Linked DNA regions of Danio rerio. The protein of the gene in region 3 interacts with the protein of the main gene of each other region in a pairwise test. Links are inferred from orthologs where the notes say so. Each region holds a gene or a part of one and is shown on either strand. Other genes may lie near its edges. The genes, in order: stam2, si:dkeyp-72e1.9 and klhl42.

Region 1 (4,196 bases), on a different chromosome or scaffold from region 3:
TAATGCAACAGAATCTGGTCAAATAAAAACTAAAAGAAGTGATTTTAACAAATGATTTGGATAATTTTATTAATAGAAATCCATTATTTTTTTTTTTTTATTTAAGGCAAAGTATAGTCACAAAGTATATCCAATGCTTCACATTCGCCATGAATTTGCTAAATAAGCTTTACATTACATATGCTCATGTAAAAAACAACGATGAGTGATTTAGAAACGAATCGGCTGTCTCGAATCGAATCGATTAGTTCCTGAAACGGACATTATTGTGCAACAGTTTCTGGGTTACTAGGTCTAAGGTGCGCTTAATTCACTGCCTAGTCTAATGTCTACAAACTATACAAGGCTACATTCAAACTAACAAAGACACTAAATTCACTACAAGCCCTGTTACAACGCTGCCCAAACAAACCAGCGACTGTAAAACAAGAACAATGCATTCATGCAACAACAACCAATGCTCGCTGTCACCCATCACCAACCCTACGGCGAGTTAAATAAGCGATAATAGGCTTTACGTTACACCGCATTTGGATTGCACAGCAGACATGTGCAGAATAACTTTGTTGAAATGTTTCAGCTTTCAAATTAAACAGTGTTAAATAATACAATATAGACTCAATGGGGGAGGTGACCGCGATTCTGTCATACAGGCTGAAGAAATCCAACCATTCATTTCTGCTGTCACACACACACACACACACACACACGCTTGAAGAGAGAAGCACGGAAGCGCATTTGATTTCCACCATACCCTGCTGTCATAATCACGTTGTAAATGACCAGATATGCTGTGGCCAGTGTTCCGGGGCCCTTTTTCTTCTTGTGACCGGACTCACTGTGCGCTGTTTTGCTGGTCCCCATGGCAGGTGCCGACATGACTGAACTATCATTAGAAAGACTGGATCATCCAATGGTCCCGGTGGATAAAGGCGTGTGGCCTTGCTGACATGTAAAAAAGCTGCTTATGAATCCAGCGCCCTCTGGTGAGGACAGAGTGTAAACAATGCTTTGTTTTTTCAGTTACAGACTAGCGTCGTCTTTTTCGCAAGCATTTACATCAAATACAACTAAAATAATATGATTACAGTAATGTATGTGAATATATTGAGATTATTTAAAGTGAATTATGATGTTCTAGAAACATCTAAACTAGCCGCTAGATGGCAGTGCGAGTCTTGAAGTCAGAGCGCACTTCTGACTCAACCTATGCGCCTGTCTGAAATATAAACATATATATTTTTAAATATGCACAAGTATAATAATTTACTGGTTAAATTTTGAGTATTAATATAATTTGTGAACATGCTGCTTTAAATGTAGAATATGTTGACAGTTTCCTGGATGTATTTTCTGGCAGGCATTGCGCTCGTCTACTAAGTTTACGGAAGAGCAACTGGTGGAAGTGAACGCAATTTAATGGATGAGAGAAGGATAAATCGTCGATCTACGTAGATAATACGCTTCAGTTTTTTTCTTTGACACATAGGAAAAGGTTACAAAATGCCGTTGTTTGGTCAAAACCCGTTCGATCAGGATGTGGGTGAGTTTGGCAGTGTTGTTTTTGTCGAAGTGATGTGGTCTTGACAAGTCAGTAACTAAGGGCCGATCCAGCAGCGCTCCGTTCACTGCAAGATCCTCAAGAGCTCTGTTATTGTTTTGTTTATCGGTCATTCATAACTTATTTATCAAAATCTAACTATTAAAGCTGTCAAATGTAAAATAGATAACTGACAGTGTCTTTGGGATGTTGTTTTGAATTTCAAGAACTTTTTAGATGAACACTAAATGCTGAAATTATTCTTTTTTCCATCAAAATTTCTTTTATTTTGAATTATGTCAACACAATAAACATGACGTAGATGACAGCATAGCAGTGTGCATAAGAAAATACATTTAATAATCAAAATATAGGAATACAGGTTTTTGAATAATATTAATATTTGTAATAAGGGCAACAACAATAATAGTGACAATAAGAATAAAAAACTGAAGAATAAACGACAAAGACATACTAAAACAAATGATAATTATAAATATATACACACACACACACACACATATATATATGTACCGGTCAAGTGTTTGAGGTCAGTTTTTATTAAATTCTTCATTTTTTTAGTTAATATTGTATGTAGTTTCAAATGAAATTATTACTCCGTTCATTAATGCTTTTATTACTTTTTTCATTAATTATAAAAAAATAATAATCATAATAATTAATATTAGAGAGATTTCTCATGTGACTCTGAAGTAATGAAGCTGAAAAAGCATCTTTAAAATCACTGGAATTAATGAATAAATTAAATTATAAAGTACTTTTGAACAGTTATTTTATAGTGCAATACCATTTTACAATTGTACAGTTTGTCCTGTAATAAAGGCAAAAAATAAAGGCAGCCTTAGTGAGCAGGAGAAGCTTATTTTAATACACACACACACACACACACACACACACACACGTATATATATATATATATATATATATATATATATATATATATATATATATATATATATATATATATATATTATATTATAATTATTATTACTATTAGGCCAGCTCAAAGTAAATAATTAAAAGAATAGTAATAAACAAATAGATTAAGATATTCGAAAACATACTGATAGAAGTCTACGGCAATGAAGTAAAGTTAGTAAAAGCCCAAACAGGGAACCTTAAACAACTACACCAAAACCATAAGTTTTTTTGTTTTTGGATGTCTCCTTGATTCAAATTATATTGAAATTGTTTTTAAATTTATTTTATTGCTTGATTACTGACAAAAATATTTTTTAAATATATATTTTTGTGGCAGGGTCTTCAGTACGAAATATGAAAATTCTTTAATGCTCCAATAAGTCATATAAAAAAGTAATAATAATTTAATAATAATAATTTATTAATATTTAATAATTTAATAATAATAATAGTTGTAATAATACTTTCTTTATATGCTTTGATTTTATTATTCTGGATGTTTACGATAATATTATTTATTATTATTTAGTGTAAAATAATAAATTAATCTAGTTAAAAATAATATAATAAAACATAATTGTGTATTTTTAATAATAATTCATGCTGATTTTAAGATCAAAACGTTCATTTTTAATTAAAAAACGTTTTTATTTTATGTTTTATTTTATTTATTTATATTTATTTTTAATTTCTAGTAAGCTTAAGATTCAGGTATTTATTCTGTATGTTATATTAAAATATTGTTTCATATAATTTAGTATAAAATAATAACAAATAACTGTAATTAAAACAATGTAATTATAACAAATAATAATGTATTACTATGCTGATACTTATGATCAAAATGTCCTGTTTTAAAAGTTTCTGATTTAAAAAAAAAAACGTTTTATTTTATGTTTTATTTGATTTATTTATATTTTTTATTTCTTGTAAGCATGAATGGGTGGAAGATTAATAGGAGCTCAGTTGTCAAAAGGCGTGGAACCTAACAGCACACAATAGCATGATCTTTGGTTTTATTTTCAAAGCTTTGTCCTTTTAGAATTCAGTTTATATAAACGTGTGAAACTGTATGTTCCTTTATGGAGGAAATTAAGGCATATTATTATTGTTCATTTTATTTATTTATTCATGAATATGTACTTTTCTAGATGTTGCAATTCAAGACGTCGTTGTTACGAGTAAGAATTAGTCATAAAAATGTGCCCAGTTGCTTTGTTCTTAAAGGAGGGGGCAAATAATTTCTGCTGGTGGATTATGACAGAAACTGTTGTGCCTGTTGTGACAAGCTGTAAATGTAAAATAACAGGCAAAACAGGCTGTCACTGCTTAACGGTATGCATATCTTATTTTCAATAAACCTATCCTTCGAACTCAGGGATGCAAAACTGATAACTAAAACTAAAAGATTTTCTTTTTAAAATTGTGGTTTTTATTAGTTTTAGTTTTTTAGTGTTTTGTTAACAGCATTTATGGTAAATGAGAAGACATTTCCTCCTGCTGGTTTAGACGTTTGTCAAACACTTATCAGTTTTTTTGATATGGTTCTAGAATGACCTTGCGTTAAGAGTCTCATTTGAATGCTCATTTGTATTTTCAGAGAAAGCAACTAGTGAAACCAACACAGTGGAGGACTGGGGCCTCATTATGGATATCTGTGACCGTGTCGGGACAGCTCCAAATGGGTGAGCTGAAAAATCAACACGCAAACAAT
Region 2 (3,656 bases), on a different chromosome or scaffold from region 3:
TAAAGGGGTTTAAACAAGACAGACAACAATCTATAACATCTTAATTATGATATTGATGTAAAATTGTAATAGATTACAAGTTCATTCATTCATTTATCCATTTACCTTTGGCTTAGTCGCTGAATATTAGGCATTGTCACAGTGGAATGAACTGCCAATGACTCATGTTTTATGCAACAGACCCAGTAATGGAAAAAAATAGGCAGTTCATGACCCTTTAAGATGATTTTTCATTAAAATGGTAGCAAATGGACATGATAAGAAAGAGAAAGGCCTATGATTGGAGACGTTTTGATGAATAAATCATAAAACATATTTAAAGTATAGATATTTTGTATTCTGTATATCCCAGATCTTAAACTGCCATTTTTTTGAGTTTTTAAACAATTTTGCAAGCAAACTAACGTCAAGATTTATCGCATTTTTCTCAGGTGATGCTGAAAGACACAGAGGACAGTAAGAAGACTCTGGAGGATGAACTGCAGAAGACAGCAGAGGTGAAGCCTAAAAAAAAGTTCAACTTGACTAATCTTAAATGTTTCAATATATGCAGTTCAACTATTAAGAGGCATGCAATCTGTTTTAATAAATGGATGACTTTTTTTGCCTTGTCATATTTGAGTATGCCAAATATATGTAATCCCAGCGTTTGAACATATGTGATCATTTAAGATGTTTGGTTGCCTTGTTTGTGTGTGTATGTGTGAAACAGAAGGCCACAGCAACGCTGGAGGAGAATAAGTGTCTGAAGAGTAAACTGCAGGTGGCAGAAGCTGTGCAGAGACAGACCAACAGTGCAGAGCAGGACTATGAGGAGGTCATTCAGCTCCTGGAGGCCGAAATCAAAGATCTGAAAAACCAGCTCGCCGGCAAGAACAAGAGAGGCTTGGAGGCCACTAAGGTACATTTTAGCACATTCCTCTGTTTGCTGAAAAAATATTCACATTATTATTATTCATATTATTATTTTTTGTACATTGTTTTTATTCAAATGTTTTACAATGCCACAAATTCTGATACAAACTTTTACATGTGTATACATTATTTTTACAACAGAATTTAACATCATATACTGCATATGAGGTTAAGGAAAGAGAAAAGAAAAGAAAAGAAAAGAAAAAGAAATTCTGGGAAAATAAATAAATAAATAAATATATATATATATAATTAAATAAATAAATAAAGATTGTTAGATATTCTTGCCTTAATTGCTGCTTTTTTGTTAAATATTCAATAAAGGTTACATAAAAATTCATCTACGTGCTAGAAGTGTTACAGTGTCACTGTAGGCTGATTTTTAGATAGCTCTATATTATCTCTACTGATTATTCATAAATATTTTAAGATATTTGTTTATGATCCCTCTATCTGTCTATCTGGGGGAGGCTCAACAAATGGTATTATTGAACGCCTACAGTGCTCTGTAATACTTTTGAAAATCATGATCGTAATGTTTATTTTAATGCCTAATAATAGATGGTCAGAAAGTAATACATTAAGTTAAGTTAGTAGTTTGAAATAATATCATGTGTAAAAATATATGGAGAAATAAGTCTGTAAAATAACAGAAAATGTACTGGCAGTTTATTACAATGTTTTTGTGCTGTAATATTCATCACCAAACCAGATAATACATTTCTTTAAATTATTAAAAATGTTAATAAAAGTCACTTAAAAGCTGGTGGAAGTTGTTGGAAAGATCAAGCTCCCATAATGCAATTCAAAAACATAAATAAATAAGGAAAAATAAAAAAAATCTAAAAACATGAATCACAAATTACAGAAACTGCTTATTTTCAGATATTTATATTATAATTGTTATAAGACTGTAAAGTGTGACATGATTAAAAGATGGACATAACTTGATTTCCATGTCATGATTTAAGCAGCGAATTATACTGTCCTGTCAAATGAGTGTTTAAAATGTGAAAAGAAAAAAAAAGAAAAAGACATTTACTGAAAATTAATAAACTGTAACATGTTGTATGGTGATTTTAAGGCTTGTTTGTCTTTTTTTTTACTCGGTTGTTTTTTATATTTGAATTAACCAAAATAATTTGAATAGTTTTAGTTCAAGTTATTCTAACTGCCAATTTCTTTTCAGGAGGATGTGATGGATCTGAACAGAAGGCTGACCGCCATTGACAGCCAATTCAGAAAGTCTGAACTCACTCGAAAACACTTGGAGATATCCAACAAGAAGCTCCTTGGCTTTGCCCAGGTAAACATAAAGCACATTTCAAAACTTAAACAAACTATCAGCTGTACACTACCTGACGAAAGTCTTGTCGCCTATCCAAGTTTTAAGAACAACAGATAATAACTTGACTTCTAGTTGATCGTTTGGTATCAGAAGTGGTTTTCTATGAAAGGCAAAGGCCTCTAGATTACACTTATTTTACCAAAATAAAATATGATCATGCCTTGATTTTTAATTATTCCATTAGGACAGTAAGGTCTGACTTGGCTCAGACAAAAGTCTTGTCACTTAACAGAAATAATGTACAGTATAGAATTTAAAATCATGGTGCAGTGGGAATTTTTTTTATATATTATAATATTGTGTATGACTCCAATGAGCTTGGAGAGCTGAACTTATTAATAAAGTCACCTGGAATGACAAAGCGTCCTTGCAGGACTCACAGAGTTTATCAAGATTCTCTGGATTCATCTTCAATGCCTCCTTCTTCATCTTACCCCAGACATGCTCAATAATGTTCATGTCTGGTGACTGGGCTGGCTAATTCTGGAGCACCTTGACCTTCTTTGCTTTCAGAAACTTAGACGTGAAGGCTTAAGTAAAGGAAGGAGCGCTATCCTGCTGAAAATTTGCCCTCTCCTGTGGTTTGTAATGTAATTGGCAGCACTAACATCTTGATACCTCAGGCTGTTGATGTTGCTATCCACTCTGCAGATATCTTTCACGCCTCCATACTAAATGTAACCCCAAACCATGGTTTTTCCTTCACCAAACTTGACTGATATCTGTGAGAATCTTGGGTCTATGAAGGTTCCAGTAGGTCTTCTGCAGTATTTGTGATGATTGGGATGCATTTCAAAAGATGATTCATCAGAAAAATCGACCTTTTGCCACTTTTCAAAATGATCAACTAGTAGTCAAGTTATTATGTGTTGCTCTTACAACTGGGATTGACGACAAGACTTGTCAGGTAGTGTATATAGACATCAGAAGTCCTTCAAAAATATATTTTTTTTACTCTGTTTTTACAGAATGTCCACAAAGTTCTCACCAACACTTACTTATTCGGGATTGAAAATGGGTAAGTTGTTTGAGTCAAACATGCTGAAAGTGTTATTGTCCTTCCGTTCTTGATCCTGACATCTGCTCATCCCACAGGAGTGCACAAGCATCTCCAGCAACCGACAGCCCCGACACACCGTCCCCGATCCCAGACTCGGCCTGCCAGCTCGCAGCCAAGGCCAAAGAGCTTGTGGATGGAGTCTGCTCGCTTTGCACTGAGGATCACAGTAAGTCAGAAATGTGCCGGAGATCATAAGCAGCTTTGCACATGCAGTCTGAATTCCAGTACAAACCTTTTGTCTTTTAGGCTCTTTACACTACTGCGCTTTCATTTTAGCAACTGACCATTTAAACTGAGCAATACAACCTTTTCTATGGACACTGTAGAATATCT
Region 3 (4,366 bases):
CCCCTGTGAAAATGCCCCTTCGACCTGGAAAATAAATTAATAGAAACAGTATGTGTTTAAAATTATATTTATTAATATTATTGCAGATTTTCACTTAAACTGATTTTCACTTATTGATAAACAAATATACATTTATTAAAATAGTTCTATCTTTTTAAATTAATTTTGCTTGGACATCCTAGAACATAAGCCTTGAATAAATCAAAATTACTCAAAATATTATTATTAATAATAAAATAATTAATTATTACTTCTGGTAATTACTTTAATTAAATCAAACATATATTATTTTCCATTCATATGTCATTTAATAGGATAGTACAGACAAAAATGAAATCTCTGACACGGTTTACTCAACCTTCACTTGTTTATAACCTATTTACAGTTATTTTGAAAAATGCTGGTTGCTGGTACCCATTGACGTCTGTAGAATTTTTCTTCCTACTATGGAAGTCTATGGGTGACAGAAACCAGCATTCTTATAAACATCTTATTTTGTGTTCAATAAAAGAAAAAAATATAAAGGTTTAAAACTACACAAGTAAGTGGTGAGGTCATTTTCATTTTTGGGTGAACTAACCCTTTACATATAACATATACCACAACCACAGGGTATTGGGGAAAAATACAAATATCAATTTTATATATAATCTGGAATTATTTATTTAATTATTTGTTTATTATAATGCCATATCAGCAACATTGGTTATATTCATGGCAAAACCTTTACAAATTATACAACAAAATAACATAAAATCATATCAGTTTCTAAACAAACATTCACTGTAAAAAAACAACATCATACAAATATTTTTCCTTTTTTATGATTTGTATTTAATATTTTTCTATAACATAAAATTGTGTGTACTAGTTTTTGGACTGTTATCGTAAGTTATTTTGTTAGATAAGCTCCAGATTTGGCTTCAGTACTGACTAATCTAATGTAAATGCACAAATACAATATTGCTTCCTAATAATATGAAATATAAAAATATAGAAAATATGAATTAAAAAATATATATATTTGTGAGGGGTGTACTTATATATGCCGAGCACAGCAAATAGACACAGACAGAAAGATATGGGGTTATAGATTCATCTTACCCAAACACGTAATATTTTCTGCCAACTCACAGCCATCAGAGCTTGGAAAATACTTGACAGTCTCTTGACTGGCTGCACCGAGAATACAAGTATGGATGGGCGCTGGGGATTTAAACACATCCCTGATCAACATCACTGACATTCACTTCCTGTGATTACAGATATACTGCACAATTTAAACATGTTTAAAGTGACCTTACCCTTTTTTGCCCCAGATTTGTATGTTGCCCATTCTGCTTCAGCTTCAGGGGAGCTTCCAAAAAAGTCACCAACACACAGCAGCAACTGAAAAACAAATCTCAGTAAACACAAACTATCTCTCTTTTCAAGTTCGTCTCTTTAAAATAAGACTCTACACGTGTAAACTCACATCAAATTGCCCGCTCTTTTTCTGGATGGCGTTCACCCGGTTGAACAAGGCATTTATTCTTCCTTCAACGTCACCACACGCCAGTCTGAGGGGGAAATAAACATTTAATCAGCGTGGAGGCAAAAAGGCACGTGAGTTTATTACTTAGGGATCTCCATCTATTTTGTTAAAGACGACTCTAAATAGCACATGTATTACATGCAGCATTCTCATAAGCCGCTTTTCAGCCCAAGTTAACACTTACACTCTTAAAGGCTTGTCTCCCATACCGAACAATACTTAAATGTTTGTTACATATGCTTAAAATTGTTGTCGCTTGTGTCTGAGCATTGGCGTTGAATTTTGTGCGTCGACAAAATAAACCCTGACAGAACGTAGAGCTAATAATGTTGTCCGGCCATTTACGAAGTATACATATTAAAGCGAAAGTTGTTTTTGGTGCTATAGATCATTAATTAAATTAGAGTGAATGTTAAAGTGTGAAACATAGGCTTTTAAAACACGGCAGTATGCATCACAAGCCTATAACGTTAAGCGCATCACGTTTCTATACGGAAGAAATAAATGTGTGACACGTTCTCTGAACGCTTCGCATCAAGCAATGATTTCTTTAGCAATTCATAGTTGTTATTCCGTAAAATTAATACATATTTCGAAGCACAATATGCCACAACATATGACAAAAGTAATTAAGAAAGTAAATCAATTTAATAAAACGTAAAAAACTAAACACATAAACATAATTGTTAATAATGACAAAATAGTAGCAGCAGTAATAGGTGTTAATGTAAAAATAATGTAATGTAAAAATAAAATGACAACAATTATTATTTTATAACGCAAAACCGTGGCTAACAAGACGTGTACGGCGTGACGTAACACTACTTACAAAACCAAAACAGGAACTGATTTACATTTGAAAACACGAAGTGCAAACTGTACAGAACAAAAATAAACTGCTATATTATGATACCACGACATTAATACCATAGGACCTGAGTTTTAAAAAATGTAATGGATCGATCAAGAATGCACATCAGCTGACTGCATAATCTGCCAAATGAAGAACATCTACACAAGCAGACGAGTTCATGAAGCATTATTATATATCATATGCAGGTCGTCCGTCTGCAATGCAGAACTTGTTTGCAAATGAAGCGGATGTTTATGGAATACATGCATGCAGATGAACTGACTCCGAATCGATGCGCTCAACATTTCCATATATAGGCTTTGGGACAGGAGCGCCTTCACGACCGCTGATCCCAGAACAGCAGCCATGACCTCCCCCGAGCAGATAATAGAGATCGTGATGGATGACAAGACGTACAATGTGAGTAAAAGCAAACTAATCGAGAAGAGCGATTACTTCCGCGCGCTCTACAGCTCCGGGATGCGCGAGTCCGCGGAGGATTCGGTGCGGCTGCGGGGACTGAGCGCGCCCGGGCTCGAGCTAGTGCTGGAGTTCATCAACACCTCCAAAGTTCAGGTGGACAACGAGACTCTGGAGGACCTGATCGAAACAGCATCCTTCCTGCAAGTCACGTCCATCCTAAAGCTGCTTCTGTCTGAAATCAAGCAGGAGAACTGCGTGGAGCTCTTCAAGCTCTCTGAGGTCTATGGGATGCACGAGCTGAGAAGGGCTTGCCTGAAATTCATGAGCTGTTATTATCATCCTATGCTGCGCAGGCCAGAGTTCAGGATGTTGGCAGCTAATGTGCGAGAACAGATCCGAGATATCCGCCTGAAAGGCACAGCCACTTTAGTAGCAATAGGGGATTTTACTCACACCTGTCTGGATTTGGCGAATCAGGATGAGCCTTGGTCCATGTTGAGGTATGGTGAGGTAGAACAACGCTGGAAACCTCTGGCCAGCAACCTTCCTCAGGATATGATCAATGTCAGGGGTTATGGATCTGCTGTGCTGGACAACTACTTGTTTATTGTTGGAGGATACAGAATGACAAGTCAAGAGATCTCAGCCGCACATTGTTACAACCCCTCCAAGAATGAGTGGAACCAAGTGGCATCTCTGAACCAGAAGAGGTACAATTCATTTCTTCAGTGGAAGGGGCCTTTAAAGCTGATAAAATTAGATATGGTCACTTTACTCATTCTCAGTCGATACAAGCAGATTTTTTTCTTAAGCATGTCAGTAGAAACAATTTTTAGCTGAAGACGTGATCCTTTATTTTTTATAAAATGCAAATCAATCGCTACAAAGACTTTAAGAGTCAAAAATATACTAAATACCTTTGGTTCCTGACAAAAAAACAAGGCCTCATGACGTTAAATGATTGGTTTGTACAAGAAATTGAACGTTATTTACAACATTACTCTTTATTCACAGCTTTGGGAAACAGTCCGGAGTGCAATCATGACAGACGTGTGGGGCAAATTTAAACTGTACATTGAGCTGACGCTGTTTGTCATTCATTTACTTTCTTATTTCCTTTATTAATCAGGGCTTGCCACAGGGGAATCAACCGCCAACTTATCCAGCACGTTTTACACGGCGGATGCCCTTCCAGCTGCAACCCATCATTAGGAAACACCCATGCACTCTCATTCACACATACACTATGGACAAATAGCTTACGTCTGCCTGTCAGGAAAACTGGAGCACCTGGAGGTTTTGTTTACATTTTTATTTTCATATAGGTTGCAACATTATAACATGCAATATAATATGCAAAATTATCAGCACAGTGGTTTTACTTACCCTCCAGTTGCACAGTGTAAAGTATGGCTGGTCTGATAAATTCTATGATATTAAATCGCGATAAAACTATCGCGCCAATAACAATGATAAGCTCTGGATTTTATTACTCTATATTGATCCATAAGCCAATCACAGAGCAGAAATGCGATCTAAAAGTGTGTCAATTTTAG

What was found.
Region 1: the proteins of klhl42 (region 3) and stam2 interact in binary tests that used the Homo sapiens proteins (3 or more experiments, as listed by UniProt). The two-hybrid records come from large-scale screens. The link is inferred for Danio rerio from reciprocal best matches to the Homo sapiens genes KLHL42 and STAM2.
Region 2: the proteins of klhl42 (region 3) and si:dkeyp-72e1.9 interact in a two-hybrid assay, tested with the Homo sapiens proteins (2 studies listed by BioGRID and IntAct). The two-hybrid records come from large-scale screens. The link is inferred for Danio rerio from reciprocal best matches to the Homo sapiens genes KLHL42 and STXBP4.

Annotation. Positions count from the first base shown.
Region 1 is NC_133184.1:39,754,724-39,758,919, forward strand, and holds the start of stam2 (signal transducing adapter molecule 2), read left to right. Parts: upstream 1-1,378; 5' UTR 1,379-1,503; coding exon 1,504-1,543; intron 1,544-4,082; coding exon 4,083-4,167; intron 4,168-4,196. Other genes in the region: hacd2 (very-long-chain (3R)-3-hydroxyacyl-CoA dehydratase 2), read right to left, coding at 755-879.
Region 2 is NC_133178.1:35,424,985-35,428,640, forward strand, and holds part of si:dkeyp-72e1.9 (syntaxin-binding protein 4), read left to right. Parts: intron 1-431; coding exon 432-497; intron 498-712; coding exon 713-901; intron 902-2,104; coding exon 2,105-2,221; intron 2,222-3,231; coding exon 3,232-3,281; intron 3,282-3,358; coding exon 3,359-3,489; intron 3,490-3,656. UniProt on the Homo sapiens protein: Plays a role in the translocation of transport vesicles from the cytoplasm to the plasma membrane. Inhibits the translocation of SLC2A4 from intracellular vesicles to the plasma membrane by STX4A binding and preventing the interaction between STX4A and VAMP2.
Region 3 is NC_133179.1:18,229,824-18,234,189, reverse strand, and holds the start of klhl42 (kelch-like protein 42), read left to right. Parts: upstream 1-1,559; 5' UTR 1,560-1,601; exon of another isoform or gene 1,602-1,605; intron 1,606-1,718; coding exon of another isoform or gene 1,719-1,741; exon of another isoform or gene 1,742-1,850; intron 1,851-2,388; exon of another isoform or gene 2,389-2,704; 5' UTR 2,705-2,753; coding exon 2,754-3,520; intron 3,521-4,366. Other genes in the region: cwf19l1 (CWF19-like protein 1), read right to left, coding at 1-24, 1,105-1,206, 1,305-1,389, 1,475-1,559, 1,719-1,741. UniProt on the Homo sapiens protein: Substrate-specific adapter of a BCR (BTB-CUL3-RBX1) E3 ubiquitin-protein ligase complex required for mitotic progression and cytokinesis. The BCR(KLHL42) E3 ubiquitin ligase complex mediates the ubiquitination and subsequent degradation of KATNA1.